Tribolium castaneum: one gene and its partners. The protein of the gene in region 3 purifies or fractionates together with the protein of the main gene of each other region. This does not show direct contact. Links are inferred from orthologs where the notes say so. Each region holds a gene or a part of one and is shown on either strand. Other genes may lie near its edges.

Evidence for each region.
Region 1: the proteins of Prp8 (region 3) and ecd purify together in Homo sapiens (affinity purification with mass spectrometry; 7 studies listed by BioGRID and IntAct, counting the BioPlex papers as one, with this or other methods). This does not show direct contact. The link is inferred for Tribolium castaneum from reciprocal best matches to the Homo sapiens genes PRPF8 and ECD.
Region 2: the proteins of Prp8 (region 3) and Sf3b3 fractionate together in Homo sapiens (co-fractionation; 4 studies listed by BioGRID, with this or other methods). This does not show direct contact. The link is inferred for Tribolium castaneum from reciprocal best matches to the Homo sapiens genes PRPF8 and SF3B3.
Region 4: the proteins of Prp8 (region 3) and rept purify together in Homo sapiens (affinity purification with mass spectrometry; 3 studies listed by BioGRID and IntAct, with this or other methods). This does not show direct contact. The link is inferred for Tribolium castaneum from reciprocal best matches to the Homo sapiens genes PRPF8 and RUVBL2.
Region 5: the proteins of Prp8 (region 3) and Smu1 purify together in Homo sapiens (affinity purification with mass spectrometry; 3 studies listed by BioGRID, with this or other methods). This does not show direct contact. The link is inferred for Tribolium castaneum from reciprocal best matches to the Homo sapiens genes PRPF8 and SMU1.
Region 6: the proteins of Prp8 (region 3) and Sf3b6 fractionate together in Homo sapiens (co-fractionation; 3 studies listed by BioGRID, with this or other methods). This does not show direct contact. The link is inferred for Tribolium castaneum from reciprocal best matches to the Homo sapiens genes PRPF8 and SF3B6.
Region 7: the proteins of Prp8 (region 3) and Prp19 purify together in Homo sapiens (affinity purification with mass spectrometry; 5 studies listed by BioGRID and IntAct, with this or other methods). This does not show direct contact. The link is inferred for Tribolium castaneum from reciprocal best matches to the Homo sapiens genes PRPF8 and PRPF19.

Annotation. Positions count from the first base shown.
Region 1 is NC_087394.1:35,465,452-35,469,604, reverse strand, and holds the start of ecd (protein ecdysoneless), read left to right. Parts: upstream 1-1,342; 5' UTR 1,343-1,384; coding exon 1,385-1,628; intron 1,629-1,780; coding exon 1,781-1,986; intron 1,987-2,371; coding exon 2,372-3,832; 3' UTR 3,833-4,153. Other genes in the region: tether containing UBX domain for GLUT4, read left to right, coding at 1-355, 406-763, 846-1,198. UniProt on the Homo sapiens protein: Regulator of p53/TP53 stability and function. Inhibits MDM2-mediated degradation of p53/TP53 possibly by cooperating in part with TXNIP. May be involved transcriptional regulation. In vitro has intrinsic transactivation activity enhanced by EP300.
Region 2 is NC_087394.1:10,470,355-10,474,738, reverse strand, and holds the start of Sf3b3 (splicing factor 3B subunit 3), read left to right. Parts: upstream 1-1,567; 5' UTR 1,568-1,851; intron 1,852-2,119; 5' UTR 2,120-2,132; coding exon 2,133-2,569; intron 2,570-4,384. UniProt on the Homo sapiens protein: Component of the 17S U2 SnRNP complex of the spliceosome, a large ribonucleoprotein complex that removes introns from transcribed pre-mRNAs.
Region 3 is NC_087394.1:7,711,221-7,714,807, reverse strand, and holds part of Prp8 (pre-mRNA-processing-splicing factor 8), read left to right. Parts: intron 1-886; coding exon 887-2,004; intron 2,005-3,289; coding exon 3,290-3,436; intron 3,437-3,494; coding exon 3,495-3,587. UniProt on the Homo sapiens protein: Plays a role in pre-mRNA splicing as core component of precatalytic, catalytic and postcatalytic spliceosomal complexes, both of the predominant U2-type spliceosome and the minor U12-type spliceosome.
Region 4 is NC_087401.1:15,890,113-15,894,373, forward strand, and holds the start of rept (ruvB-like 2), read left to right. Parts: upstream 1-1,455; 5' UTR 1,456-1,527; coding exon 1,528-1,533; intron 1,534-1,710; exon of another isoform or gene 1,711-1,863; coding exon of another isoform or gene 1,864-1,869; intron 1,870-1,978; coding exon 1,979-2,364; intron 2,365-4,261. Other genes in the region: Hmt-1 (ATP-binding cassette sub-family B member 6), read left to right, coding at 63-165; uncharacterized protein LOC663271, read right to left, coding at 314-615, 662-801, 852-1,089, 1,146-1,203. UniProt on the Homo sapiens protein: Possesses single-stranded DNA-stimulated ATPase and ATP-dependent DNA helicase (5' to 3') activity; hexamerization is thought to be critical for ATP hydrolysis and adjacent subunits in the ring-like structure contribute to the ATPase activity.
Region 5 is NC_087397.1:5,008,354-5,012,699, forward strand, and holds Smu1 (WD40 repeat-containing protein SMU1), read right to left. Parts: upstream 2,819-4,346; 5' UTR 2,666-2,818; coding exon 2,640-2,665; intron 2,589-2,639; coding exon 2,378-2,588; intron 2,330-2,377; coding exon 2,215-2,329; intron 2,171-2,214; coding exon 1,752-2,170; intron 1,495-1,751; coding exon 1,271-1,494; intron 1,226-1,270; coding exon 1,124-1,225; intron 1,080-1,123; coding exon 896-1,079; intron 849-895; coding exon 696-848; intron 641-695; coding exon 542-640; 3' UTR 490-541; downstream 1-489. Other genes in the region: zinc finger protein OZF, read right to left, coding at 1-60, 106-213; tau (microtubule-associated protein 2), read right to left, coding at 3,828-4,007. UniProt on the Homo sapiens protein: Involved in pre-mRNA splicing as a component of the spliceosome. Regulates alternative splicing of the HSPG2 pre-mRNA. Required for normal accumulation of IK.
Region 6 is NC_087395.1:21,527,674-21,530,285, reverse strand, and holds Sf3b6 (splicing factor 3B subunit 6), read right to left. Parts: upstream 1,102-2,612; 5' UTR 973-1,101; coding exon 943-972; intron 892-942; coding exon 556-891; 3' UTR 501-555; downstream 1-500. Other genes in the region: mutS protein homolog 5, read right to left, coding at 1,118-1,591, 1,632-2,179, 2,225-2,270, 2,318-2,508, 2,555-2,612.
Region 7 is NC_087395.1:23,125,937-23,130,217, forward strand, and holds the start of Prp19 (pre-mRNA-processing factor 19), read left to right. Parts: upstream 1-1,472; 5' UTR 1,473-1,480; coding exon 1,481-1,604; intron 1,605-1,726; coding exon 1,727-1,876; intron 1,877-1,920; coding exon 1,921-2,384; intron 2,385-4,281. UniProt on the Homo sapiens protein: Ubiquitin-protein ligase which is a core component of several complexes mainly involved pre-mRNA splicing and DNA repair. Required for pre-mRNA splicing as component of the spliceosome.

The DNA of each region.
Region 1 (4,153 bases), about 28 Mb from region 3:
GCCTGACGAACTAAAAGTCCAAGCAAATGTCTCTGCTCCTCTGCCTACGAAACCGGTAGAGGAGAAGCCCTTTCATCGCACTTTAAAGACTGAAGCTGAATATTCTAAAACTACCGATGTGAAGCCTTTACAAAAGAAAACTGAGGTTGATTTATTGAAACTAGCACGGGAAAAACGAAAATTGAGCAGCCCTTCCAAAACTCCGGAAACGGAAACGCATTCGCCTAAAACTAAACCCAAAGTTGAGTCTGACGACGAAAAAATGGATGTTGATTTGCCAGAAAACATCGCAAATTACCCAAAAGAGCCAGTTACCAACCCATCATCTAGTCAGCTTGAGGACGATTTTGTTTTTGTATGTAGCATTTTATTTTTATTATTTTATTTTGTATTTGAAATTTTCAGTTGGGCGAGCGCAAGGCAATGTTATTTTCTCTCGAATCGGCGCGTTCTTTACCAGCTGAAGACCTACCAGACGATTTTTTTGAGCTCACAATTGATGATGCTAAGAAAATTCTGGGCGATATTAGAAGAAAGCGAAACGAAATGGACAACGCTAATCTCATGACCTCTGCAATGCGCAATTTAGAAGAATCAAAGAAGCAATTACGCCAACTGCGTAAATATAAACAGTCAGTAATACGCGTCCAGTTCCCAGACAGGTCCATCCTTCAAGGGAGCTTCAAGCCCAGCGAAACTGTTAAAGATATTAAAGATTTCGTCACTTCTTTCCTAGAAGATCCAAACAGTGATTTTCATCTTTGTAAGTATTGTTCTACTTCAGTCAAGTGACCTTTGACTCTAGTCAGAAACTACTTTGATCACATGTTTAAATATTGTTACAGATACAACGCCGCCTAAAAATGTTCTCTCGGACGAATCAAAACTAGTGGAAATTGGTTGCGTGCCGGGGGCTTTGTTGCATTTAGGAGCAAATGGTGATGGGAGTTCTGTGTGCTTGAAGGCGGAATTGAGGGATAAATTTACAACAAACTCAAAAGCAAGTTTAGCGGCGTCACAGTTGCGGCAAAAGGGAACAAGACCCGAATCTCCGAGTGAAGAAATGGGCCAGGATGAGTCTATGGATACACTGACTGAAGCAAATGCTGCTGGGCCAAGTACACAACCAACCAGTTACGAGAGGAAAGTAATAAAATCAACGGAAAAAGTCCCTAAGTGGTTTAGACCATCAAAGTGATTTATTAGTGTTAAGTTTATATGAGTTGGTACTTATATTAAATAAAAGCACTTCAGCATCTAATTTTGTTTTATTTTGGTGAGAGGAGCGGGTGTTTTTGAATAGTTTGGGGAGTTTTGTTTTATTGGCACCAATGGTGTGTCAAATGTCATTCAAATTTTTTAATTGATTACTTTTAAAACAACAATGGCAAGTAAAGTTAACGTTCTTGAGTCCGTTCGTGAAGATGATTTTGTTGAATATCATCTTTTTCCACCTATTGATTCCCAGGACGACAAAGAACAAGAACTTGCGTTAACCAGAGTTTTAAATCAGTGTGAAAAAATCGTAAAAAGGTACACCGATGAGTATTTATGGCATAAAGACGAATTTAAATTAACTGTGAGAACGTGGATTAGTAATTCACTGATTCATGATAGTGAAAAAACAGGTAATGGTCGTATTTTATGACTTCACATTAAAAAAGTGCTTTTACATTTTTTGAGGTTATAAACCAGCAAATGCTTTGTTTAAAGTAAATCTGTATAAATCACAATGTAACAATTTTTTGAATCACCTAATTCGAGATCAATTGTTTTGCAGAGTATTTACCACCACATTTATATGGCGTAACTCATTTTGGAGACAATATAGAGGACGAGTGGTTTATTGTGTTCCTTTTACGTCTCCTAACTAAGGAAATTGATGGTTTAATAGCTCGTGTGCACGACGCTGATGGCGAATTTATTTTAATTGAAGCAGCTGATTACTTACCTTTATGGGCAGACCCTAACAACTGCGAAAATAGGGTAAGGTTTCTCATTATCTGTGCTTGTCTTTTTTCTAATTCAAATTAGAATAAAGTGATAATTGATTTTTTTGTTGGAAATTTTAATTAAAAAACGTTGCTATGGTAAGAGTGTTTTAAAATAGTGTTTATAATCTAGCATTCAGATGTGAAAAAGAAGGCTTAAAATGTTACCATCAAAAAAATAATTTAACGAATGCAACACAAGTCAATGAACGAAGCTGTACCAACATGTGAAAAAATTGCAACAAAATTGCAGCTCTATAAGATAGTACTTCTACATTAAAATTCACTTAAGTAATAATTTATTAGTTAAGCATTTATAATTATTTATACATTTCTGTAATAACTGAAGCAAAACTGACTTGGATCTGGTTTTTCTCCAGGTATACATTTACCAAGGCAACATTCATATCATCCCTCTAGACACCTCGGATCACCTCCCAGAAATGGCCCAAATGGCGGTCAATGAGGCCGTCTCAACAATCCAAAACAATCCGATCGACACTTTAGCCTCATCAGACATCCAAAACTGTATAATCAACAAATTAAAAGACTACCCTGACAAAATCCAGTCCAGTCTTCACCATGCCACTGCCTACCTACCAGTAGGTGTCGCTGCAATTTTGCGCCACAAACCCGGGCTTATAGCCCCCGCCGTCCAAGTCTTTTGTAATCGAGACCCAGTTGACGCCAAAACCTGCAAAGCCATGAAATATTTTCCGCCCGAAAACCGCGTAAATGCCAGAGTGACATTTACTAAATGTTTATACGCAATGCTAACTCACAGTAAATACGTTCCGGATCGCAGAACCGGCTGGAACTTGCCTAAAAGCGACAGCCCACAGTTTAAAGCGCAGAATTTAGGCGTTAAAATCGCCTGTGGGTTTGAGATTTTAGCCGCGCAAGCCAAACCAAGCCAGGACATTGAACAGGATAAAGGGTGGGTTAATTATTTTGAGAAACTGAAAGAGAAAAATTATTTTCGGGGGTTGTTGGAGCATTCAAGAGAATACAACGATTTATTAAACAAAGCGAAAGAGTACTACATCAATCACCGAGACTCTATGCACTATTCTCCAGCCATTGGGCAAGAAATTGTCCAGTTGATCAAAAATTTGGATTTTAAGATCGATGAATTGAAGGAGGAAAGTAATTTGCCTGACGATGACGATTCGTGGCTTAACGTCAGCCCGGAAGAGTTGGATAAAATGTTAGAAGAAAAATACGGGCAAAAGAAATTCGTTACAGTGAACAACAACTCAGACGCCGCCTCTTTCACTGAAAAAATCTCCTCGTTCTTAAACCACGTGTCAGATATTGACGGAGTTGAGCACCCAGACCTGGACAATTCCCCAACTCGGCCCCCTAGAGGCGTGAAAAAACGCACCAAAGTTTCGTTCGCAAGTGGCACAAAAACCGAGACAACAGCTAATAATAGAGTTAGTTTTGATCCGAATGCGTTTTCTTGCGCCGTTCAGAACATCCTGAATTTTGTCATTCCGGAAGATGACAGTTGGGATTTGGATTCTGGGTCTGATATGAGCGATTACGCCGACGATGTTGCCGGGAATGAGGAGATGTACGAAGGGGTTAAAAATAAAATGCAGGAGTATATGGAACAGATGGATAAGGAACTGGCGGCGACCACAATCGGGGAAAGTTTCGAGAAGAAGAACGGGGACGGGTTTGAGGATATTGAGAGTTTTAAACCTGTTGATATTGACGTGAATGCGTTGAAGAATATTCTGGAGAGTTATAAGTCGCAGTTGGGGGAGGCGGGACCGTCGAGTAATATGTTAGGGCCGATGGGGGTGCACTTGGATGTCAGTAATAACGATGATTGAGATGATTATTTAAGCGCGATTTATTGATTTACTGTTAATTTTTGTAGCGCGTGCCAATAAGGAGGTTTACTGCCATTGTCTTTTCACTATTGATGTATACAGTGTACGAGATTCACACGTTAAGCTGTACAGAACACGAACGATTTGATTACATGCTTAATATTACCTCAGAAATATGAAAAATATTTTGTGTTAACGTTACGTTGTTTTTGCAACTATGACACATTTCTTTTTTTCGTTCTGTACAGCCGCATATGTATTTTAGATTTAGCTGCTTGTTATGAAAATTAAAAGAATATATTTAATACTTTAGGATATTAT
Region 2 (4,384 bases), about 2.8 Mb from region 3:
TGCAATTAATAAAAATTATTTGTTTTTATATTTAAAATGGCAAGCTTACGTTGTTATTCTATTTTACAATTTTAAACATGAAATGTCGGAAAAAGAAAAAAATAATTGTATGATTGCGTATCAATAAAATTTTATTTTACAAAAAAAATGTCAATCCAAACACCAAATCAAATTTTATCTGCGGTAAAAAAATATACAACATTATCAACGTCACCTACACATTTTTTATGTAATTAAAATCTGCGATCATCGTATATTTGTTCAATTCAAAATAACTTCAACACAGCTTATTTTTATAATTTCACATTTTTTACTTTAATAACCGTTCACAAAATTTCTAGATTATTCACACCTTTTATGTGAAATAATTTTTTCATAGCCAACTACTTTCAAATGTTTTAATATATTTTTATCATAAATATACAGCGTGCTCAAAAACTGGCGCACCAACTCAATGGTGTGTGATAGAGAAGTGGTTACATATAATGGTAAAAATAGTAAAAAAATTCTTTGTATTAAAATTATTGATAAATAACTAATTTTAAGTAATTGATATGTGGCAACGTTGTCTAATAGTCATGATCGCAATAGAATTTGAGCAACAATAAAAATAAATTATATTTGAAACGGTTTCCTAGGAAATAATTCCCAGTGTTGGCACATCTACACATTGTGATTTTTTTGGATAAATTTTAATTTTTTTATATTAAAAAAACTGCTAAAATTTGATAGTAAATTTTAAAATAATTGTTAATCGTTTTGTTACGGAACGATTACCTGGTATGAAAAATAAAAATATAAAAAAATAATAAAAACTAAAGAAATTAACACAATAAGTTTGTAGCTCCAGATTTTTTAAAATATAACTTTAGGAATTTTTTCAACATTTTTCCCGTAATCTGCACTTGCTTCTCAATAACGTACCACTGAGTTGGTGCGCCAGTTTTTGAGCACCCTGTATAAAAACATCAAACTATATTTATATTGTTTTGAGTTCAGAAAAAAAAAGCTTTTCGAAAATGTCATAGCCAACTATAATTCTCATTTAAAAAAATAAAACTTTATGTCATTACAGCTAAGCGAATGAGTAAAAAAAATCGCTGCTAACATTATTAAATTCTCTGTAAAAAAGTGCCTGTATAATGTTTTTGTTTTAAATATGTATCTTTTATAATAAGGAAGATATGATATCTTTACAATAACTTAAAATTTCATCAAACAAACGCATAAGACTATTACTGTAAATTGCATTGAACTAAAACTCTGAAAATTGTCCGGAAAATATGGTACAAAACAATAAGCTTTTTACTAGAATTTGGATTCTTATTTGCCTCAAATTGAGATAAACACAATCAAGTTCTAAATACAGTACCTACAGTACGGTAAAAACAAAAGATACATACTGGCAATATCAAACGCATAAATTGTTAAAGTATAATTTTGGCCAAAGATAATTTTCTGAAAAATTTATTTAAATTGAAATTTCCTCTCAATTTTCTGATTGGTTTAGAAATTTTGCGCTTGCGTAGTAAAAAATATAGCCAACACGCACGCGCAGTAGCACTACATTTCTTCTTTCCGTTTCCTTTCTCACTTCACCGGTGTTTGTGCGTTATTTTGCCGGTCTGTCGCCATTTGCAGTTAGTTTTTGTACTTTTTTGCTAAATAATGTATCAAAACATTGCAAAAGGTGCTTTATTATTGTTTTTTAATTAACTTAACCATCGACAAAAACGCTCAAATAAATAACCAAGTCACCACGTCACAACAATGTGAACCATGCGAAAATCGAAAATAAATGGTTGAAAAACTTTGAAATATTGAACGAAACGAAGCTCATCCACGTTCAAGGTAACAAAATTTAGCTTTGATTTTGTTTTATAATTAATCACAAGTACGTATTTTTGCCCAAATTAACGAGTTGCTTTAAAAATTTGTAATCGGATGCACTTGGTATCTCCTGTACCTATGTATTGTATACGTACAGGTCGTAAAGGGTGCTATATTATGGGGCACATCGCATCGTTGGCTCAAGCGAATTACCAAGCTAAAGCCTGGTTTTAGTGCCCCACATTTTCAACTAAAAAATGATACGTTCTAACCTCACTTTTCTTCCTAGATAAGCCCCCAAAATGTATCTCTACAACCTGACCTTACAAAGGGCCACAGCCATCACCCACGCCATCCATGGCAATTTTTCCGGCACCAAAATGCAAGAAATTGTCATTTCACGTGGCAAAAGCTTGGAAGTGCTACGGCCTGACCCCAACACCGGTAAAGTCCACACGCTTCTAACCGTCGAAATATTCGGAGTCGTCCGCTCGTTGATGTCGTTTCGACTCACCGGAGGCACCAAAGACTTCGTCATCGTGGGCTCCGACTCCGGCAGAATCGTTATTCTTGAGTATATCCCGTCTAAAAACAACTTCGAGAAGGTCCACCAGGAGACGTTCGGCAAATCGGGGGTCAGACGTATTGTTCCAGGCCAGTACCTAGCCACTGACCCTCGAGGACGTGCTGTAATGATAGGCGCCGTCGAGAAACAAAAACTCGCTTACATTTTGAATAGGTACAAATTTTTTATTAAAGTATTTTTGTTCTGTAAAAATTAATGAATGCACAAAAAACGTGCGGTCTTTATTAGTTAGTTTTGCGGAAAACTATTTTAGAAAGTTATAATTACATCTGCATCTGAGTGACATTTTTGGAGTGCGATTTGTGCAAAATTGTAAGTTTCTGTAAAAGAAAAAAAGTTTGTGCTAAGAAAACCCACCAGAAACTCAATTTGCGTTACATTTTACTCCAAAAAATGCAAATACGTTTTTGCAAAATTCTACGACCTGAAATGGGATATACCTACTTAATTAAAAACAAAACGAAATAGATTACCACAATTAAAGAATACATTATCAAGCCCCAGTGAGTTTTGTGTCAAATTCGAAACTTTTGTATAGTTTTACTGTATTAAAGAATGAATTTTGTAAAAACAAATAGAAATTGCTGTTTAAATTTTAAATGTGACAGTGCGGGAAAGCTATTTTTAAAATTTTTGGCAATCAGTTCTGCATTTAGACGGCTCGGATAATCCGTACGATTCTATTAACCGAACTCCCAAATTAAGTAAAATAGTATACATAATCCGAATTACCATTCATTTATTTTGACTTTTAATTATTTTGTCGAAAAAAGTATTTGTTTAAAATACACTATCGGACAAAAGTAAGGCAACATGTTGAAAAATATACAAATATTGGTATTTTAAATTTTAAGAGTTGGTATTTACCTTCAATTTAATTTTATAATAAACGTTTAAAGATATTCTTATTCGTGTTGAACATGGATAGCCAATGGGTAATTATTATGACATGCTACTAGCTTGAAATATAAAAAAGCCCGATATTAATGCGACAAAAGTAAGGCAACATTGTCAGAAAATATTTTCAACTCAAATTTTATTTGATTCAACATTTACATAACACTACCCAACACTAAAGTTTAAATAAATAGAACGAAAAATTCAATAATTTATGACATAGCCGTTATTAAGTATAATTTTTTGGCACCGTCTGGGCATTGAAGAAATTAATTTTTGAATAACATTTTCATCCAGATTTGACCACACTTCTTTGATTTTATCTATCAAAGATTGCTTGTTGGGAAATTTTTGTATCCGGATTCGTCGCTCTACCTCTTCCCATAAGTTCTCAATTGGGTTGAGGTTTGGTGATTGGGCAGGCCATTGCAAAACATGAATATTATTATTTTGGAACCACTCACTGACCAATGCAGAAGTGTGTTTGGGGTCGTTATCTTGCTGAAAGATAAAACGAAGAGGCATTTCCCATTCTGCATACGGCAGCATTACATCTTGGAGTATGTCCTTATGGATGAACCGATCCATATTACCCCCAATAAAGCTCAACGGACCCACACAATTCCACGAAAAACACCCCCACAGAAAAACGCTACCATGACCATGTTTAACAGTGGGTGTAACATACTTGGGGTTGAATCGTGTATTGATTGGCCGTCTCACACGTTTCATTCCATCCGAATTAAATAATTTGTATCGAGTTTCGTCACTAAACAGAACTTTCCTCCAATCTTGCTTTGTCCAATTCAAATGTTCTCTTGCAAATTGAAGTCTGGCGCGTCTATTTCTTTCGGAAATCAAAGGTTTTTTAGCAGGACGTCTACTAAAAAGCTTTGCTGCAACCAGTCTTCTTTGAATTGTTCGTGTACTAACTCCTACTTCCGGTATTTCCGCTATAATTTTAGATGCAGATTTCCATGGATCGTTTTCCGAAATTCTTTTAATGCGTCTGTCCATGTTTATAGTGGTTTTTCGTGGTCGTCCCGATTTTGGATTATTGTTTAAATGTCC
Region 3 (3,587 bases):
CTTAGAAAATAAAAACTGAATTATGTCCCGTCCGTAATCATGGAATGGCTTATAAATAAATTAAATAGATAATTTTTCAAACCTGACATCATTTCTTTGTTAGTTTTTATTAAACTCTTCTTTTTTAAACGAACGTCTTACTAAACTATTGATTTTTTTTATTTAAGCTGAGGATAGTCTGTTTTCTTATTTTTCCAGGAGTTGTAGCTTAAATAGAAATGATTATCTGTGTCATTATCATTTTTGGCAATAATTTAAAGCCAATCTCTTCAGTCAATTGGGCAGTAATTTCTCGTAAAGTATTTACTCGATTTAAAATTAAAATAATGACAATAATTCAAGTTTTTTGAACAATTATTCCGACCTTTTTGGATTTTTTTTTCTCATTCAGTATTGGAATATATTGCTGTAGACGTGAACTTGTTCAAATCATTCTCAGTATTCTGAACAGTTTTTTCTTGGCAGAATTATTGTTTTATGACAGTTTTATGTGTTTACGCTTTGCTGCAGATCCACGACTTCGTTTTGTCGAAAACTCAATTATTTTTCTCAAATAAAAAATATTTTTTTTAATTTGAGATGTGTACATTTTACATAAGCAAGCAAAATTGTCTTTTTTTAGTCTTGGTAATTGCTTTATCCATTTTCAAATTGCATCAGTGGTTTTCCAATGTTATTAGTTGTAGTTGTTTTTGTTGTAAGAGTGATGAGACGCGCAGGGGTCCTGAAGTTGACCAAAATGTAGATCAACAACTGGTGCTTACATTGACGTAGGTCGATACAGCATTGGTTGGAAAATGCGCCTCTGACTATTTTTAATTATTTTATTACATTAGTTTCTCTGTTAGTTTTGCTAAGTCGCTGTATAGGTCAATGTTAATTACAGGTTCCTGGTTTACCAATCCCCATCGAAAACATGATCCTACGATATGTGAAAATGAAAGCCGATTGGTGGACAAACACAGCTCATTACAACAGAGAACGAATTCGCAGAGGCGCAACTGTTGATAAAACAGTGTGCAAAAAGAATTTGGGAAGACTGACACGGTTGTATTTGAAAGCAGAACAAGAGCGACAACACAATTACTTGAAGGATGGTCCTTACATCAGTCCTGAAGAAGCAGTAGCTATCTACACTACAACAGTGCATTGGCTTGAGTCACGAAGATTTGCTCCAATTCCTTTCCCACCTTTGTCTTACAAACACGATACTAAACTTCTGATCTTGGCTTTGGAACGTCTCAAAGAAGCATACAGTGTTAAATCGCGACTCAATCAAAGTCAACGAGAAGAATTGGGTTTGATTGAACAAGCTTATGATAATCCACACGAAGCTCTTTCGAGAATTAAGCGACATTTATTGACACAGCGAGCTTTTAAAGAAGTAGGGATCGAGTTTATGGACTTGTACAGTCATTTGATTCCGGTGTATGACGTTGAACCACTTGAGAAAATCACCGATGCGTATTTAGACCAATATTTGTGGTACGAAGCTGATAAAAGGAGATTGTTTCCACCGTGGATCAAACCTGCCGATACTGAACCTCCTCCTTTACTTGTCTACAAGTGGTGTCAAGGAATCAATAATCTACAAGACGTTTGGGACGTTTCGGAGGGCGAATGTAACGTTCTCCTAGAATCAAAGTTTGAGAAACTCTACGAAAAAATTGACTTGACTCTGTTGAATCGATTGTTACGTTTGATTGTCGACCATAATATTGCTGATTACATGACGGCTAAAAACAACGTTGTGATTAATTACAAAGACATGAATCATACGAACAGTTACGGGATAATTAGGGGTCTACAGTTTGCTTCGTTTATAACACAGTATTATGGTTTGGTTTTGGATTTGTTGGTGCTTGGGTTGCAGAGGGCTAGCGAAATGGCAGGGCCACCACAGATGCCGAATGATTTTCTCACATTCCAAGATGTTTCAACGGAAACTTGCCATCCGATAAGGCTCTATTGTCGATACGTTGACAAGATTCACATGTTCTTCAGGTAAAATTCATTGTTATTTATTTTGTTTTTGGGCAGTTTCATATGTTCTTTAGGAAGAATTAATAATTACACTAGTTTACAACGTTTTTTACCAATAGATGAAATCAATGTGTATCGGTAGAATAATTAATAATAATAATAATAATAATAAAAGCCTTTTTTAAAGAAAAAATGTGAGGAGGCGAGATCTAACTGATGCTATTCTACTTAAAACAAAACATAAATTTTTAAATATAAACCAAAAATAACCAAAATGCATAATATAATATTAATATAAAAAATAATATACAATTTTTAAGTAATACTAAAAAAAAGGAGATATGTGTCTCGGAATACTGTTGAATAAATGTAAAAGATAATAATAATAAAAATAATAATTCGAAATGAAAACAAATACAGCAAAAGAATAATTACTGAAATAATAAAAAATCTAACTTTGTTTGTTTCTTAAATAAGTTTACTGGCTTTGACTTTAAATGGTTTTGGAGATATTATTATAAATGATGACAGCGTTATAGCTGAAAGATCTAAGAAATGGTGCTTTTTCTTTTTTAATTTCAGATACACAAAAGTTACGATAATTAACCCTAACTTTGATACAGAAGTCGAAAAAAAATTAGGACAAGTTTTTTAAATATTCATTATAAAGTATAAGTATTTCAGACAATTTTTGCAACATTAAAAATGTTACAGACTGTTTTTTCTTTTGTATTATCAGGGTCAGTTTATCTCAATGCAGACTAGTAGTAAACGAATAACGTATTTTTATCTCAAAAACCTTAATACCTCTCTTCATAAGACTTTAAAAATTTGATAGAAATATTCATCTTGTTTATCCCATAGGTTTTTAATTTTTTTAGGATAATTTTACCACAAGAAAAAAAATTTCTACTTTAGTTTCACAATATGTTTTTCACAAAAAGAGGAAATAGTTTGAACAGGTTTTGATAAGTTAAACTAAACACAAACAACAAAAATAGAAAGTCGAAAAAATAGTATATTATAATACTATTGCATATTATTGTGGCACTCATTCTGTTGGAGCACTCCTTCGTCGTGCTCCCAAACCATTTATGCCAGTATAGAAAAATTTTTGTTTTTGGCTTTTATGATGAAACGCGCAGGGGTCCTGAAGCTGGTCAAGCTGTAGGCCAGCAACCAGTGCATACACTAACGTAGGTTAGTTGTGTATTGGTTGGAGATATGCGCTTCTGAACAGTTTTTTTGCTTATTTAACGAAACACAAGTAACTTTATTTTAGTAATGGAATATTTTTTTATTACAGATTTACAGCTGAGGAAGCTCGCGAATTGATTCAAAGATACTTGACTGAACATCCTGATCCAAATAATGAAAATATTGTTGGTTACAATAACAAGAAATGTTGGCCCAGGGATGCCAGAATGAGATTGATGAAACATGACGTTAACCTGTAAGTTAATAATGTTTCTTTTTTTTCGATTTTTAATTGGTTTGGTCGTTTGTGTCAGGGGTCGAGCTGTATTTTGGGACATCAAAAATCGTCTGCCCCGGTCTGTGACAACTATACAATGGGAGAACAGTTTTGTGAGCGTCTATTCGAA
Region 4 (4,261 bases), on a different chromosome or scaffold from region 3:
TCAATATGTTGGCACCATTGCCAGCCATTCGTAAATTTCAGTGTTGCCACCCATTTTTTCAGACACGAGCACTTGATTGGCCAGGAAGGCGTGTACGCCTCCATGTGGAAGCAACAATTGGAGAGTAAAGAAAATTCAGCCGAGACTAGCCTTGAGAGGAGTTAATCCCCACCCCACCCCCCACTATTTACAATTAGTTGCCGAGGTTTGGGGCTTATTAAGTGAAAAAAAACGCTTCGTAATTATTGATTTGTATTGAACAAAAAATAAGTTGACTGTCATATCACTAGTTTAAATAAAATATTTCTATTGACTATGGTAAAAATAATTCTTCTTCGGGAACCCTCGCAAACACTTCGTTAATATTCTGCGACCACACTGTTGCCATCACTTGCTCAATGGCGGCGCCAAAGTCGGCATAAACAGTTAGGGAATTTTCGTTGATTGTTTTCATGATTTGTTGGCTCAGCTGTTCGTTACCGTTGATTATGTTATCATAGGAAAAAATCACTTTTTTCGGGTTGAATTTAAACACGTGCTCGGTCATTCTCAAGTGAGTCTTGCCTTTTTTGGTGTACCTTTCACATTTGAAGTGATTGGCGCCTTCAACATCCCCTAAAAAAAGAATTAGGCACGAGGCGAAGCCGAGTGCTTCACTCACAGAACGTGTTATTACACTTCCCTTCACCGTTTAGTGTGAAAATGAGCAACTTTCCGTTGATTTTGTAATCGGCTTCCATACGCACGACGGGAGTCAAGCTATCGTAGCTCCAATAACAACTCCCTTGCGTAAAATTAACCCTAAAATTTTTTTTCAATTTTTTTTTTTTTTTTGTTAATTTTATTGTTACTTCGAATTTTTGATCGTAGCCGAGGTGATGCCGTGAATTTTCACATTTTTGTAAACTTGCTGGAGCGTGTCCTTGGACGCTTGGCCCAAGGTCACCTCCGGTATAAGCAGTGGCTCCAACTGACTAATCCCCAAATCCCTGTTCCCCATGGCCAACTTACGCACATCTTCCATAACATATTTATCCAAACACTGGTTTAAATTAGGATCCGATTTGCGACATTTGATAATTTCGGGCGCTTAATTAATTAATTAATTAATTAAAATCAATGGTTAATTCAATTAAACGACTTACGCAAAGTTTTGGCAAAAGTTGAGCCAAAAACAAGCACCACAAGTAAAATCGCACTCATTATTCTACGGAATCAAGTCGAAAACTATTATTAAAAATGAGTTAGTGAAAAGTATTTGTAGTGTCGAAAAGTTGAAAACCTTGTAATTCGTACATAATTTTCCTAATTGCAACAATAGGCAATTAGGGAGCGGAAATTTTGTGCTAATGTGGCACAAATGAGGCAAAAACGCCCGTAATTATTGGTTTAACATTGTTTTAAACTGTTTGAATGGAAATTGGCGCCGGTTTTCGGCACGTTGGCAGCACTTTGTTTGAAGGGCCCAGTGTTTGATCAATTATTTCAATTAATTAATTCAAAGTTTGGGTTAATTGTGGCAGTGCTATGGCTGTAAGTATTAACAAAACAATCATTTATTAATGAAAAAAGCCCACAAAAAACAATTTTTAATACAGAAGTTACACAGTTGGTATTACAAAAATTTCAAGTTTGGGACGTTTTTGTCACATAAAACTTTTTTCCCGACGAATTATTTAATTTAATTATGTGTTTCGAGTAAAATTAATATAATAATTATGCTTAATTAATTAAATTACGAAGTGGGTACACTTTTTCTGGTGATTTTCGCAGTTACGTTGGTACCGCGTCCCTCCATTGTTTTTGCATTTCCTTTAAAATTGTGCATAAAAACGCAAAAAAGCCGCAAAAACCACAACCCCAATGGCTGTAAGTACCCCATTCTCCCTTATCTCGTTAAAAACACCCTTTTGCTGATAACATTATCGCATTTGTGTCGTTTTTGCGGCGTTTGCTGACCCTAACCCCACTTTCGCAGAGCGCCGCCGCTGCAAAAATCGCCGAAGTGCGTGAAACCACGCGCGTGGAGCGCATTGGGGCCCACTCCCACATCCGGGGGCTGGGTCTGGATGAGAGTCTCGAGGCCCGGCATGTCTCGCAAGGGATGGTGGGGCAGGTGTCTGCCAGGAGGGCTATCGGGATTGTCTTGAAGATGGTGAGGGAGGGGCGGATTGCTGGTCGGGCCGTGCTTTTGGCGGGGCAACCGGGGACGGGGAAAACGGCCATTGCGACGGCTCTGGCCGCCGCCCTGGGGCAGGACACCCCCTTTACGAGCATGGCAGGCTCGGAGATTTACTCGCTGGAGATGAGCAAGACGGAGGCGCTGACGCAGGCGATTAGGAAGAGTATCGGGGTGCGGATCAAGTAAGTGCTGGAATACCGGGTGACTGTGATGAATTGTATGGGGGAATTATTTGGCAATACTGCGCTTGTTTTATGAATTAAGAGTTCAGATTTATCACAAAACTGACGACAAGATCCGTTTTATTTATTTATTTATTTATTTAACGAAAAATTTTTTTCTACAAAATATATAAATTACAAAACCACAAAAAATAAAATTATTTAACAATAAATGATTAATATCAAGAATCATTTAGCCTTAACAGCGAATGTATAAAGTGCTAATGGCTTTTCAGTAGTCACCCGGTATAAAAATGTCAAAAAAAATTGAAATACTATAGTCGGTGTATTGTTGGTTGCCTATATACTAACTTCTGAAACTTTGAATTTATAGTTTTTATTGATTTAGAAATCTGTTAAAAAATATTTTTTTTTCTAATTTAGTCGTTTGTTAAGCTTAAAAAATTTTTCCCCGTGTTTTTTTTTCGGGAACAAAGATTTACAAGAAAAAAAACAAAACAGTGTGTCTCGGAATTTATTTTGCAAAATTTAGTGATGAATTCTCTAATTTTTCAATATTCAATATTCAATATTGAGGGTTATTTTAATAAAAAAATATTTTCGAAATGGAAAGAATCTACTTTTTCTATTTCGTTGATTTTCTACAACGGATTTTTTTTACTTTTGTGTGCTTCTTATTCTGTTTTTTTTTGCTTTCTTTTCATTTTTTTTGCTTTCTCTTGATTTTTTTTATTTTTTTAATTTGTTACAAGAGGTTTTTTTTCTTTTTTGTGTTATTTCTTTTTTCGTTTATTTTATTATTGATGTTTTTCACTCTCCCGTAATTCTTTGGACTTGAACCATATTTTTTAAGTAATTTTATTTTTTTGGTTTTGCGACGATTTTAATTTTTTGTTATACTAATTTTGTTTTTTTATAATATATGTTGGTAATTTAATTTTATAGTTCATTTTCAAATATAAATATGAAAACGTTTAATAAACTAGCAGGTTTGACAATAAATTACACCCGACAAGATTAGAAAAGATGGTTATTTACTTTGAAAAAAAATATATAAAATTAAAGAAAAAACTAAATTTATTTTTATGTTTAACAGTTTAACTGAAAGTTTTTTATTAGTGGTCCGTCACTTTTGGGATCGCTATATTATGTTTTGTTTTACCAGTTTTTTTTTAATTTTTTAATTTTATTTTGTCTTTTTTAATTTATTCATGGAGAAAAAAAAATTAAAAGCTTGAAAAAAATGGGCATTTGCTTTTTTAACTTATTTTTTTGGTTCACATTTATGTTTTATTTTCCACTTTTATTTAACACATTTTCTCTTTATTTTCTATACATTTTTTTGTTATTTGTTAATTAGGTTTTTGTGTCTACATATTATTTTTTCGTATTTTGGTTTTCGTTATTTCGTATCGATTTATGTATTAAATTCTTGGATTTTTTTATATTTTATTTCTTGTTTCTTGTAGGCGTTTCCTAATTTCACTTATTTTTGATTTATTTTATCAAATTTATTTTCCAAATTATTTTCGTTTTTCAATGTTTATTTTATTTTTTTAGTCTGTCTTTGTTGATTTATTCGTGGAAATTGGGAATAATTAAAAAATCGAAAAAATTACCGTTTATTCATAATGTTAAAGTAACGTTATGAACTTTAAGAGTTAAAGCGACTTCAACTTTATGAATAAACAATAAAAGTGTAAAAAAAATTCAATTTTTCAGTTATTTTCAATCTCCACAAACAGAGGGAATAAGAAAATTTTATAATTTTTTTATTTTGTTCTTTCTTTTGTAATAATTTGACCTCACTTTTGAATTTTGTTAACTTAATTTTTTGGTTCACATTTATCTTTTATTTCGCCTTTTCTCTTTCCTAAGAGTTTGCAACGATTTTTTT
Region 5 (4,346 bases), on a different chromosome or scaffold from region 3:
GTTTACCATTTGCAAGCACTGCGTGCAAATTTGGCAGGGGAGACCGTCGCCCTCAATTACCTTCAGGACACATGTTTAAATAAAGTAAAAAAGTGAATGAAATACCTGAATTGAGGCACACGACATTAACATATTGGCCACACAAGCTCCGAATAACGGCTTCAGACTGGCCTTTTCGAGCAAACACGTGCGACAAATTTTATCCAATTTCATTTTTAAAATATTTGAAAAAATGTGTTCCCTTGAAAACTGAGGTTATATTAAGTGACAGTGACACTGACAGATCGGTATTTTTCTTTTTATTTTATATTTTGTAGTGATTTTATTTAAGTTTATCCCAGATTTCGAAATTTCTTTGTCCTTTAAATAATAATTTATTGCTTTGTTATATTTTATCGATTTTTTTAGAAGTTTTACTTTTTTACAGAGACGCCGTGAGGTGGCGTCACATGTGGTGACTTCAGTTGGGTGTGAAAATAAAAAACTGAATTGAATTTACGCTTTATTTCTTAGGATTACAAACGTTACAAAATTACAATAATTACGGTTTCCACAAACGCACGAGTCCGTCCTCGCTATATGTACAGAGTAAATTCTGATGTGGATGGTGTGCTATACCAATAACGTCTTTTTCATGAATCTGGAACAAAAATTAGTAAACCACAATTGTATTAAACCATTGGTGAAAAACCTACATTTAAAGTTCTCTCGAGTTTACCAGAATTTGTGGAAAAGCAATACAAGACTAGATCTTCCCCGACGCAATAAATCCAGTCACCTCTTGGTGACACTGTTGAACATACAAAATCACCACCTTCACGTTTACCACTTGCGAATGACCTCACAATCTATCAATAAATGAATTTTTTATGTTTTTGGTAACATCACAATTTACCTGTCCTTGAAGATTCATAATAACTACAGTATTCGTGCGATTACAGACAACAAAATGTTCGGGATTTTTTGCAAAGTTGTGAATATTATTCACCGTGATATCGCCCGCGCCTAAAGATTTGAAAGTATTGATGCATTCCGCAGCTCGGATGCTCCACACTTTAACGGTTCCGTCAGAAGAAGCACTAAATAAAAATGTTTTAAAAGAAGACACAAGTTTAAAAAATACCTCAAAACGTTATGACCATCCTGAGTGAAAATAACTTCATTTACGAACGAAGTGTGCCCACGAAACTCCTTCAATATTTTCCCAGATTTTAGGCCATGTAATCTATAATTACCGTAAAATTGGCGCCACTAGATTTTAAATTATTACCTAATAGTGTGATCAAACGAAGCGCTTAGAACCTGACTGTTGTCTCTAGAAAACTGTAAACAGGTGATACCTTTCGAGTGAGCTTTTTCGATTTTTCGCAAACACTGGCCCGTGCTAATCCTCCAAACTTTGATTCTTCCGGTCTGTGACCCAGTTACCAACATTTCGCTGTCTCGCGAAAACGCCATACATAATACTGCATGTTCCATCATCATAAAGCTCTCCTAAACGAAATGTAATCGAAAAAAAAATTATATTTTGATGTTAATTAATTTTTTCTATTTGAGAAGAATATTTTTATCTAAAGAAGAATTTATAAAGTTAGATTTCAGTCTTTATGGCTTAGGAAAGAATCACGAAAATCTTAAAAAAATGTACAGAAGTATATAGAAACAATATTTAAGAATAATCTACAAAAAATATAAACAAAATTATAAAAGAATTTTGAAAATAGTTTTTAAAGATTAGAATTAACTGTTACCTGGGCTTGATATTTCAAGTCCTTGCGAATTTTCCCGGTGGTGAAATTCCACACCTCAATAATCCCATCAATGCTCCCTGTGACCAGATATTGTCCATCTGGTGAAAAGCGAGCGCACTCCACGTGCGACTTTTGCCCAAACTTGATTTGTTTGGCCATTTGAGTTGGGAATTGTTCGTCTTCCTGGTCTCTGATGGCAGCTTTGCCCCTAAACAAGTCAATTGTGGTACCAGGAGGCAACAAGCCTTGGTGCTGTTGCCATTTTAGCGCCTGGCCAAGTAAGGCCAAAAGACGTGACGATGGTACAACTGATACTTCCCCTGAAAGGGCGTGAGCAATAGCAGCACGGCGTTTTTCTTTGCTGCCTCCGTCTGGATAAGCTTCACGGGGGTCAAAGTATGAACGAGCGAGTAAATTTTCTGTAAAAAAAGTTATTTTTGAAGTGTTTACTTTTGTTGAGTACCTAGGTGAATGTAACGCTCGGGCTCGTTTTGCTTCATCATTATCATGGGGTCTGTTTGTCTGAGTAGGGATCTGGCTGCTCCTAACTCTCTGAGTTCAATTAATTCTAAAACAATCTAAGAAATTTGTAGTTTCGCGAACTAGTTGAATAATTTGGCGTCTACCTGTTCGTACAAGTCGATTAATTTTTTATCAGGGAGTTTAAGGGACTGTATCGCTTTCAAAACAGTGTCCCAATGCCCGTTGTTTATGTCGGCACAAAACCCATCAACACTATCTACAGTGTTTAATGTTACACCAGTTTCCTCCTGTAGTGTGTGAAGAGTTCTTAATAAGTTAGATTCTTTTAAATATTGCTGAATTAGGCGGATTACGCTGCAAGTAAATAAAAACATAACACTGTTTGTTTGGTTATGTCGTACTTACTCCGCAGATTCGATTTCTATAGACATATTTTAGGAGTTGTGGCTTCAGAGGCTTTACGTTATTATTCTTGTGCTAATAATCACGTTTCAAATGACAAAAAAGTGCTAAATTGCAAATAAAATGATCCTATTTTTTTGACAACTCCAACTTACGTTTTTGACATTAATGTCTCCACTACAACACAAAATCGCTAGATGTCGCCAAATCAAAAATTTTTTGAAACAACTTCAGTTTTATTTTTTATTTTTGCCTAATATATTGTTAGGGCGGTCACCTCACCACTAGCCCTACTTATTTAACGGTTTATTTAAACGAGTTTTTCTCGAAAATTATTTACTGCAGACCAACTTTTGTTTTTTCTAATCCCAATTCCCACAAATAGGGGTTGTTTTTGGTGGGAGTTTGGTCAGTATCAGAGAAAATATGTGCAAGATAATTTTTATTTAACGTTAACTAAGACAATTCTATTTCCATAAACAATATGGGACAATCAACTTTTTAATATTAGTTGAAATATTAAACTAAAAAAATAATCACTAAACAAATAATTATGGTAATCCACATATGTTTCTAAAAAATATAAGTACATAAGCAATAATAATTTTACCATTACATACTTGCTTAAACAGAATATCTAAATGTATTTAATATATACACAACTATTTTTTTTTTTTTGTACGTGGTATTGTGAAAACTGTGGATTAATAATATCATTGTATAAAAGTGAAAATTTTGTTCTAATGATATAATTTTACATAGTATTTGGTTATTTCTTTTTCTTAATATTGATACTATGATCAGTACAAGATTTATGACCAGCAAAAGAATTCTCAAAAATTCAGTTTTTTTTAACGTCTTTTTTTTATTTGACGTTCTGTTTTCCGCTTTTGCCGCTCACTATATTTCCTGACTACTGCAGTTAATGAACTAATTTTTGTAATTTTCCTAATTTTCCTAAATAATTTTCTACAACTAATACTGGTACAATATTATAGTCCAACAACCATTTACTTAAAAACTGACAACAAATATTAGATTATGTAAAATTCTGCATGATTGTTGGACAATACAATTCAATTATAGTACAAAAATGCGTTGCCTAATGAATTTTTAGATCGGATATTGAATTAAATAAAGCAGCACATTTAATAAAGAAATTTAAAAAAATAAAAAAAATCGTTAAGCGATTTAAAATCTCCACGGTGGTCGAGGTGTTGCACTTTTCTTAACTTTCAGTGACCCACTCCTGCAAAATGCTGAAGTAGGACGATTCTTTCGAGCAACCTCTTCTTTCACAGTTTCCAAAATTCTTGCTTTTTCTTCACTTGGATCAAAATATCTCTCACGAGCTGATTTGGATACAATTTTCTAAAAATACGAATTTATCTTCAGGCTTATGTTTAAAAGCAGTGACATTTTCAGGAGTAATAAAATATTCAATTTCGTTTGAGAAGGCTAGACTGTAAAAAATAAAAAATTCAAAACTTACCTAAGGCATTTCGGCTTGTGTTCAGTGTTTTGGGCAGCGTGTGTGATTGTTGGTGCAAAAATTGGTGAAAATAAAAGCTGCTACTATATACTAATGCACATTTTATTAATGCTTCTTATAAAGTTAATACAGTGATGATATACTCAATACCATCTATTTTGCAAAACAAAATAAAATATTTTTACTGGAAACAGCATAACTGAAACGTATCAAAACGC
Region 6 (2,612 bases), on a different chromosome or scaffold from region 3:
GTAGAAATAATAAATGATCAGTATTTAATCCATTTTTACTCAGTAAAAAATTTAAATGACAAAACCACGCACAGTATTTTATTAAAATTTACCCAGTAAAAAAATCGTATATGCACAGTATCTAGTTTCAGTTTACACGGTTTAAATAATAAACGCTCAATAGATAGCCTGCAGGCTGGGGCTTCGCCCCATCGAACTAAAACGAAACATATCCCGCGAACGATTTTTGAGATGCTATTATCTACTGTGCATTTATTATTTTTACTGAGCATTTACTATTTTTACTGAGCATTTACTATTATTACTGTGCATTTATTATTTTAACTGTGCGTTTATTATTTTTACTGTGCGTTTATTATTTTTACTGATCAAAAATACTTGTCGTTTAAATAAAATACTGTGCATTTAATTTGTACCCATAAAAAAAAACTCTTAGCAGACTCACCCTGAATTGAAAGGGAATTTAAAGGGAGATTTAATTGCGTTAGATATAAAAATCATTCTCATTGTAATTATTTATTTAAAAAGCTTAAAATTATGTACAATACAATATGTTTACGTATTAATTCCGTATTTTGATTTCATCTTATCAATCTCTTCCTGTTTCTTCTCAATATCGGTCTTCTTGAACGCTTTACTCGCCTGATAATACAAAACCACTAAATACCGATTACAAACATTAAAGCCGGACAAATGGTCACAAGCGTTTTTTGCGTCAAAAATGTCCTCATAAACCACAAAAGCTGTGCCTCTAGTTTCCGGGGTATTACCGACGCGGATTTGCCTGATAGCCCCATATTTACCGAAAATATCGTACATTTCTTCGGCTGTTATTTTATAGGGGAGATTGCGGATGTAGAGAATTCGGTTGATTTCTGGGGGCAACCTAACCTATAAAAAAAAACATTTTTTGGGTCAAATTTTTGGTATTTAACGACTTACGTTTGCCTTTCTTTGCATAGCCAAAGCCATTGTGGCGTTTTTTTAATTTGCTTCAATGAATTAAATACAAAAACAAACTCACACAAACGTTTTTATTGACTGAACAACACGATCGCCAACGTAACACGTACCAACCCAACAATTAACAAAACTAAAGCGGGATATTCAAACACAATTATGCCTCATCTGGTTCCGGAATATTAACATCTTTTAAAAACGCAATCAACGCACTATCATTAACGGAAGCCGGATAACTCTCACAACGGACTAATGGCGTGACTGTTTTCTTTTTTTCAAACAATTCGTTTGCCCGTTTGATAATACTCGCATCCACGCCAACTTCGGCCGCAATTTTTATCGCAAAACTCCTCGAAACACCTTTCGCCACTTTATAAAGGAACAAAAGTGTCCCATTTTCCTCCGAATGTGCCATTTTCAAATATTCAACAACACCATCTTCCGGTAAAAAATCAGAAATGCTTTGGTGGTGCGTCGAGACAAGTATGTGAGGGCAGTTATTGCCTTGTTTGTGAAAGTCGGCCAGAAAGCCGACCAGTAAAGCAAGTCCATCCTCCACGGTGGTTCCCCGGCCAAACTCGTCCAATAAGATCAGAGAGTTGTGGCGCGCGTTATGAATCGCTTGCGTGGCCTAATTTACGATTAATTTTTTCGCAAAATTTTATACAGACCTGGATTGCGTCAATCATAAATGCAGATAGGCGCACGGCTGCCGATTCCGTCGCTTGCATTCTGGAATGTATGCAATGCAAAATCCCGATGTTGGCGCTCCTGGCAGGCACGTAGGAGCCAATGTGGGCAAAGTAAATAACGAGGGCTACTTCCTTCAAATACACACTTTTGCCACTGCCGTTAGGCCCCGTGATTATTTTAATGTGACTGTGGTGATTCCCCGAGCAAAAGTCATTGGGCTCGAAATTTGAGACCAGCTCGAGGAGAGGGTGACGACACTCGCGGATTTCGTGCATATTTTGGTTGTTTAAAGCAGGTCGGACGTAATTATTTTGTGCCGAGACTTTCGCTATTGCTATCAAACTAAAAATTGTGTATAATTGGGAGAAAAAATCAATAAAATCGTACGCATCAAACAGCGATAAGACTCTAAGAGGCTCTCTAATATCCTTGTTGTATTTGAGAATGAAGGAGGAAAGGCGTTGCAAAATGCGATTTTCGTGGGCGATTATTTCGGCATTAATGTCGCCAAGGTTTTCGTCCAATTCTAAATTAAAATGATAGAAAAACAATAAATTTAAATTTTTTATACCTAAACATAGTGGATTCTTGTAATGGATTGTTCCACGCAACGTGAACTACAAAATACCCAATAAGTGATAAATCGCCTTAGGAATTTTCTTACCATGAATTGAAATCCTAAATCTTTCAATTCCTCGGGATCGCAATTCGGTTTCCATTCGTTTATCGCAACCAAATGTCCCATTTCTGGTAAATACACAATGGAACATTCGTTTAAATAGTCTGGTAATTGCTCTGCTGCCACTCCGGCCGCTGCTCGAACATGTTGGGCAATGTCTTGTCGACGCAATTTTTCTAAATCATTTTTTAATAATTGTAACAAAAGTAAACAAATAATTACTGGCATCTAGACTTTCGTCAAATCCGGTTTTAATTACAGGCCGGCTTGAATTTTTACT
Region 7 (4,281 bases), on a different chromosome or scaffold from region 3:
GTGTTGAAAAGTCAGTTTGAGTGACTCATTTTAAATTCAGTAACTATTAATAAAATCAAACACTCAAACAATTTATTGCCACGTAATAATTTTGTCTTTAATTTCAATGAATGAAAGTGGCTTGCTCAAAATTTAATGCAAAGAAACATTTTTTTTTTGGTTTCTTTTTTATTATTATTATTTTTTATGCTACAAACGGTAGCCAACGTGGAAGCGAAACACAGGTACGTCCATTTTATTGTTGTGTCGTATTTATTTATTTCACAAACCAATAATTCGTTAAAATTTAATTGCAAATAAAATGTTGTGTACACCGGCTCTAATACGGTGTTGAAAAGTCATAGTTTGAGTTTTAAATTCAGTAACTAAAAAGAAAACACTCAAACAATTTATCGTCGCGTTTTGATTTTGTCTTTAATTTCAATCGATGAAAGTCACTTGCTCTAAATTTAATGCAAACATTTTTTTTTGGTTTCATTTTTATTATTATTATTTTTTTAATGCTACAAACGGTAGCCAACGTGGAAGCGATATGAAGGTAGGTGTATTTATTTACTGAAGTTTTAAATTTAAATTGCCACATATTAAAACGTATTGTGTATTTTTTATTTTGTTTAATATTGACAAATGTTGCTTGTTGTAACTTTCATGCAAATAAAGATTTTTTATTGGTGTTGTTTTTATTTTTTAATGTCTTGCTACAAACAGTAGCCAACGCAGAAGCCATATGAAGGTAGGTGCATTTTTTTGCGTTTTATCTTGTGATGTGTTGAATTTAATAGCTTGTGTGCCATATATTATACCGTATTGTGCATCCTTTATTCTGTATAATATTTATTAGTGTCGCTTTTTGTAACTTTCCTACAAATTATTTTTTTTTGTTGGTTGTGTTTTTAATTTATTTTTTAGGTTTTGCTACAAATGGTAGCAGATGCAGTATAAAGGTAAGAACATTTATTTAACGCCAAGTGAAAAACTTTGATTTTTGTGTACTTTTTTTTTATTACACAAACCAGTAATGTCTTTATTCCCTTTTATTTTCCAATAATCATTGTTTACCTCATCCTTATTTCCTTTTTTCCTGGCAAGAATGCTCTAAACCTCCACGTGGTTCTTGCTGGACAAATTAGTTATTAATTTGACTGATTAGAGCAATCTTTAAATACGAATTTTTTTAACGCAGTTTGCAAAATTGAGACATTTTTTTACAGCCGAAGGCCCTATCGAAGGGCTTATTCCCCTACAAAAATAATGAACATTGCACGGTAAAAAGGGGGTGAAAAAAAACAATTTGCATTGCTTGAATATAAGAATAAAAATGTAGTCAAGTTTTAATTTGTAATAGAAACACATTAGAATGATCAGGGTATGTTTTTCTAATGATTTACGATTATTTTGATAATTTTCCTGGTGTGAACTTGGCTGTAGAAACGAGAATGTTGCTAGCTCCAGGCGCGCAACGATTGTCTGGTCGACTGTAATGTTCATGGTGCCATCATCATTTTTAGTGCATCTGCACAGATATCTCGGCCACAGTGTTTTTCACTTTGTGCGGTTGGCGACACATCAAGCTAAGTTAGCAAAAATGGCGTTGTTTTGTGCCCGTAAGTATGAATTTTTGTTGCGATTTTGAATAAAGTACGCTTTTTTAACGAATCAAAACTTAATTCGAGTGTCAGTAATGAGCTTCTGGCGCAGTTTGGGTAACGATTTGGCCCGGTTTCAGTTTCAAACGAGGTGCCGGAACACCCAGTCGTGTCCCCAACGTCGGGTGCGATTTTCGAAAAACGCATCATCGAAAAGTACATCCAGGAGCACGGCAAGGACCCCATCAGCGGTGACGAGCTCACCGTGGACAAGCTCATTGAAATTAAGAGTGAGTAGCCTAACCCAACTTGTTCGGTTCTAACCGCCACACAGCCCCGCCGATAGTCAAGCCGAAGCCGCCGAGCGCCACCAGCATCCCGGCCACGCTGAAGCTGCTGCAGGACGAGTGGGACGCCGTGATGCTGTACAGCTTCACGCAGAGGCAGCAGCTGCAGACGGCGCGCCAGGAGCTGAGCCACGCGCTCTACCAGCACGACGCCGCGTGTCGCGTGATCGCGCGCCTCAACAAGGAGGTGACCGCCGCCAGGGAGGCGCTGGCCACGCTGAAGCCCCAAGCGGGCATCATCACGGTGCCGCAGCCCGCGGTGGCGGCCGAGGCCGGCGGCATCGCCAACCAGCCGACAGAGCAATGCGGCCTGACTGATGAAGTGATTGAGAAGCTGCAGGACAAGGCCACGGTGTTGACGCAGGAGAGGAAGAAGAGGAGCAAGACGGTGCCTGAAGAGGTGTCCACGCCGGAGCAGTTGAGGGGATTCAAGACTTTGGCCTCACATCCGGTATATTTTCAATGTTTTTATTTATACCATCCAGTATTTCCCCGAACATCTCTTGCATTTTGCACAATTGTCGTTTTAAAAATTTCACTTGACAAATGCAAAGATTACTAAATGTGGTAGAAAATGACTTAGTTTTCTCTCTTACGAGTGTTTTAGCACATTTACCAATTGGAAAAACGTGTAAAGGTTGGTGTTATTTTGCTGGATTTACTCGATTTAGCTTGTTATTGGGCGAAATTTCATCAAAAATAAGCCAAAAGTCACAGGATGTGTTCAAAACACTGATATTTTTTAACTAAATGTTCGTTCAAATAAAAGAATTTCTTTCTAACCTAATTCTAATTGAATTGAGCCAAAAATGCGTTGTTTTTTTTAAGTAAATATCTAAATATTTCAATAAAGTGATCGAAAATGATGTCATTTCAGGTTGTTTATCTCGAACTTATTCTGAGAAATCAGGAAATTAATTTGGGAAATCTTCTATTTTCGTAATACATTTTGCAGTCAAAAAGCAAAATTTCGTTGAAATCTTGTTATTTTTGCCATTTTCCGGCAATTTAATTCGTATAACATTCGACAATGTAGTTATTTCGAATTTTTTTTTTAAGATAAGAGCGAAAATGTTACATTTTTTTGTTGTTTTCAAGTGTTTTAAATTTTTTTTGAAAACAATTTAAGCTTTTTTCTATAAACATTACAAAAACTTAATAAAAAAGCACTATTTTTACATCAAGATGGTTGTTATTTTAGACCATTCCCTTCGATTTTGTTTGTTTTTGAGCCAGGAATTTATTTATTTCCCAACAATAAAAATATAAACTTATTATTTTGTTTTTATTAACTTTGATTAACTTTCGCGAAATTCCCTTTAAAAAAAAACGCAAGAAACCACAAAATTTGATCAAAATTTTTACGTTTTTTAAGCTTTAGAGCACGTTTTTGAATTTAATTTTCAGCTTTTTTGGCGAAATTTTGCAAAACCAACTGAGAAAAACATGCAGAAATAATTTTTCTGTTTTTTGAGGCTTTTCTAAAAAGGTAGATGAAAAAAACACCAAATTAATTCTAAGATTTTATTATTTTTCGAGTTCACGAGCATTTTAGTACGCTTTTAAGACAGAACTGTTTTCCAAATTTCGTAAAAAAAATAAAAAGCCGACTCTTTTATTTTACGAGATCTTGACAAAACACCTAAAAATCAAAAACTTATTATCAGCTTATTTTTGAATGAAATGTTCCCAAAAACAAGACAAGAAACCAATGAAATTGTTAAAATTCTTATTTTTTCTTTATTCATGCTTTCAAGCACATTTGAATTTTTGTTTTAATCGCCAAATTAAATATAGAAAACTACATTAATTTTTCATTTGCGATCATTTTAATACGTTTTACACTTAAAACCACAAATATTCCGCAAAATTTCGTTCAAAACCATTCGGAAACTAATTTATTTTGTAATATCTTGTCACATAAGTGAATCGACATTAATTATTATTTAATTATTTAGTATATTTGAGTTTGAGTGAAATTCGTCAAAACTCATTATAAATAAGTCGAAAATTGTGTTAGTTTTACTTTTTTCCGGGCTGTAAGCACAAACTTTTGCTAGAATTGGCTAAAATCATCAAATTAATTAACACAATAACAAGTGTTCATTTAAAAAAAACTCTAGAGTGCTTTGAAAATAAAAAAATAATTGTTTACTATGTCTGTGATTAATCCGTTCTTTCATAACCTTACTTTTTGACAACTAAAAGAAAACAGATTTTCATCATAAAATTTATTTATTATTTATAAAAACTGTTGGAAATGTCTTCCTTGTTGTTCAACACACATAACACATCGCCTTTGAACACTATTTAACAATCTTTGGCTATGAATTGTGATGACCTGGTTG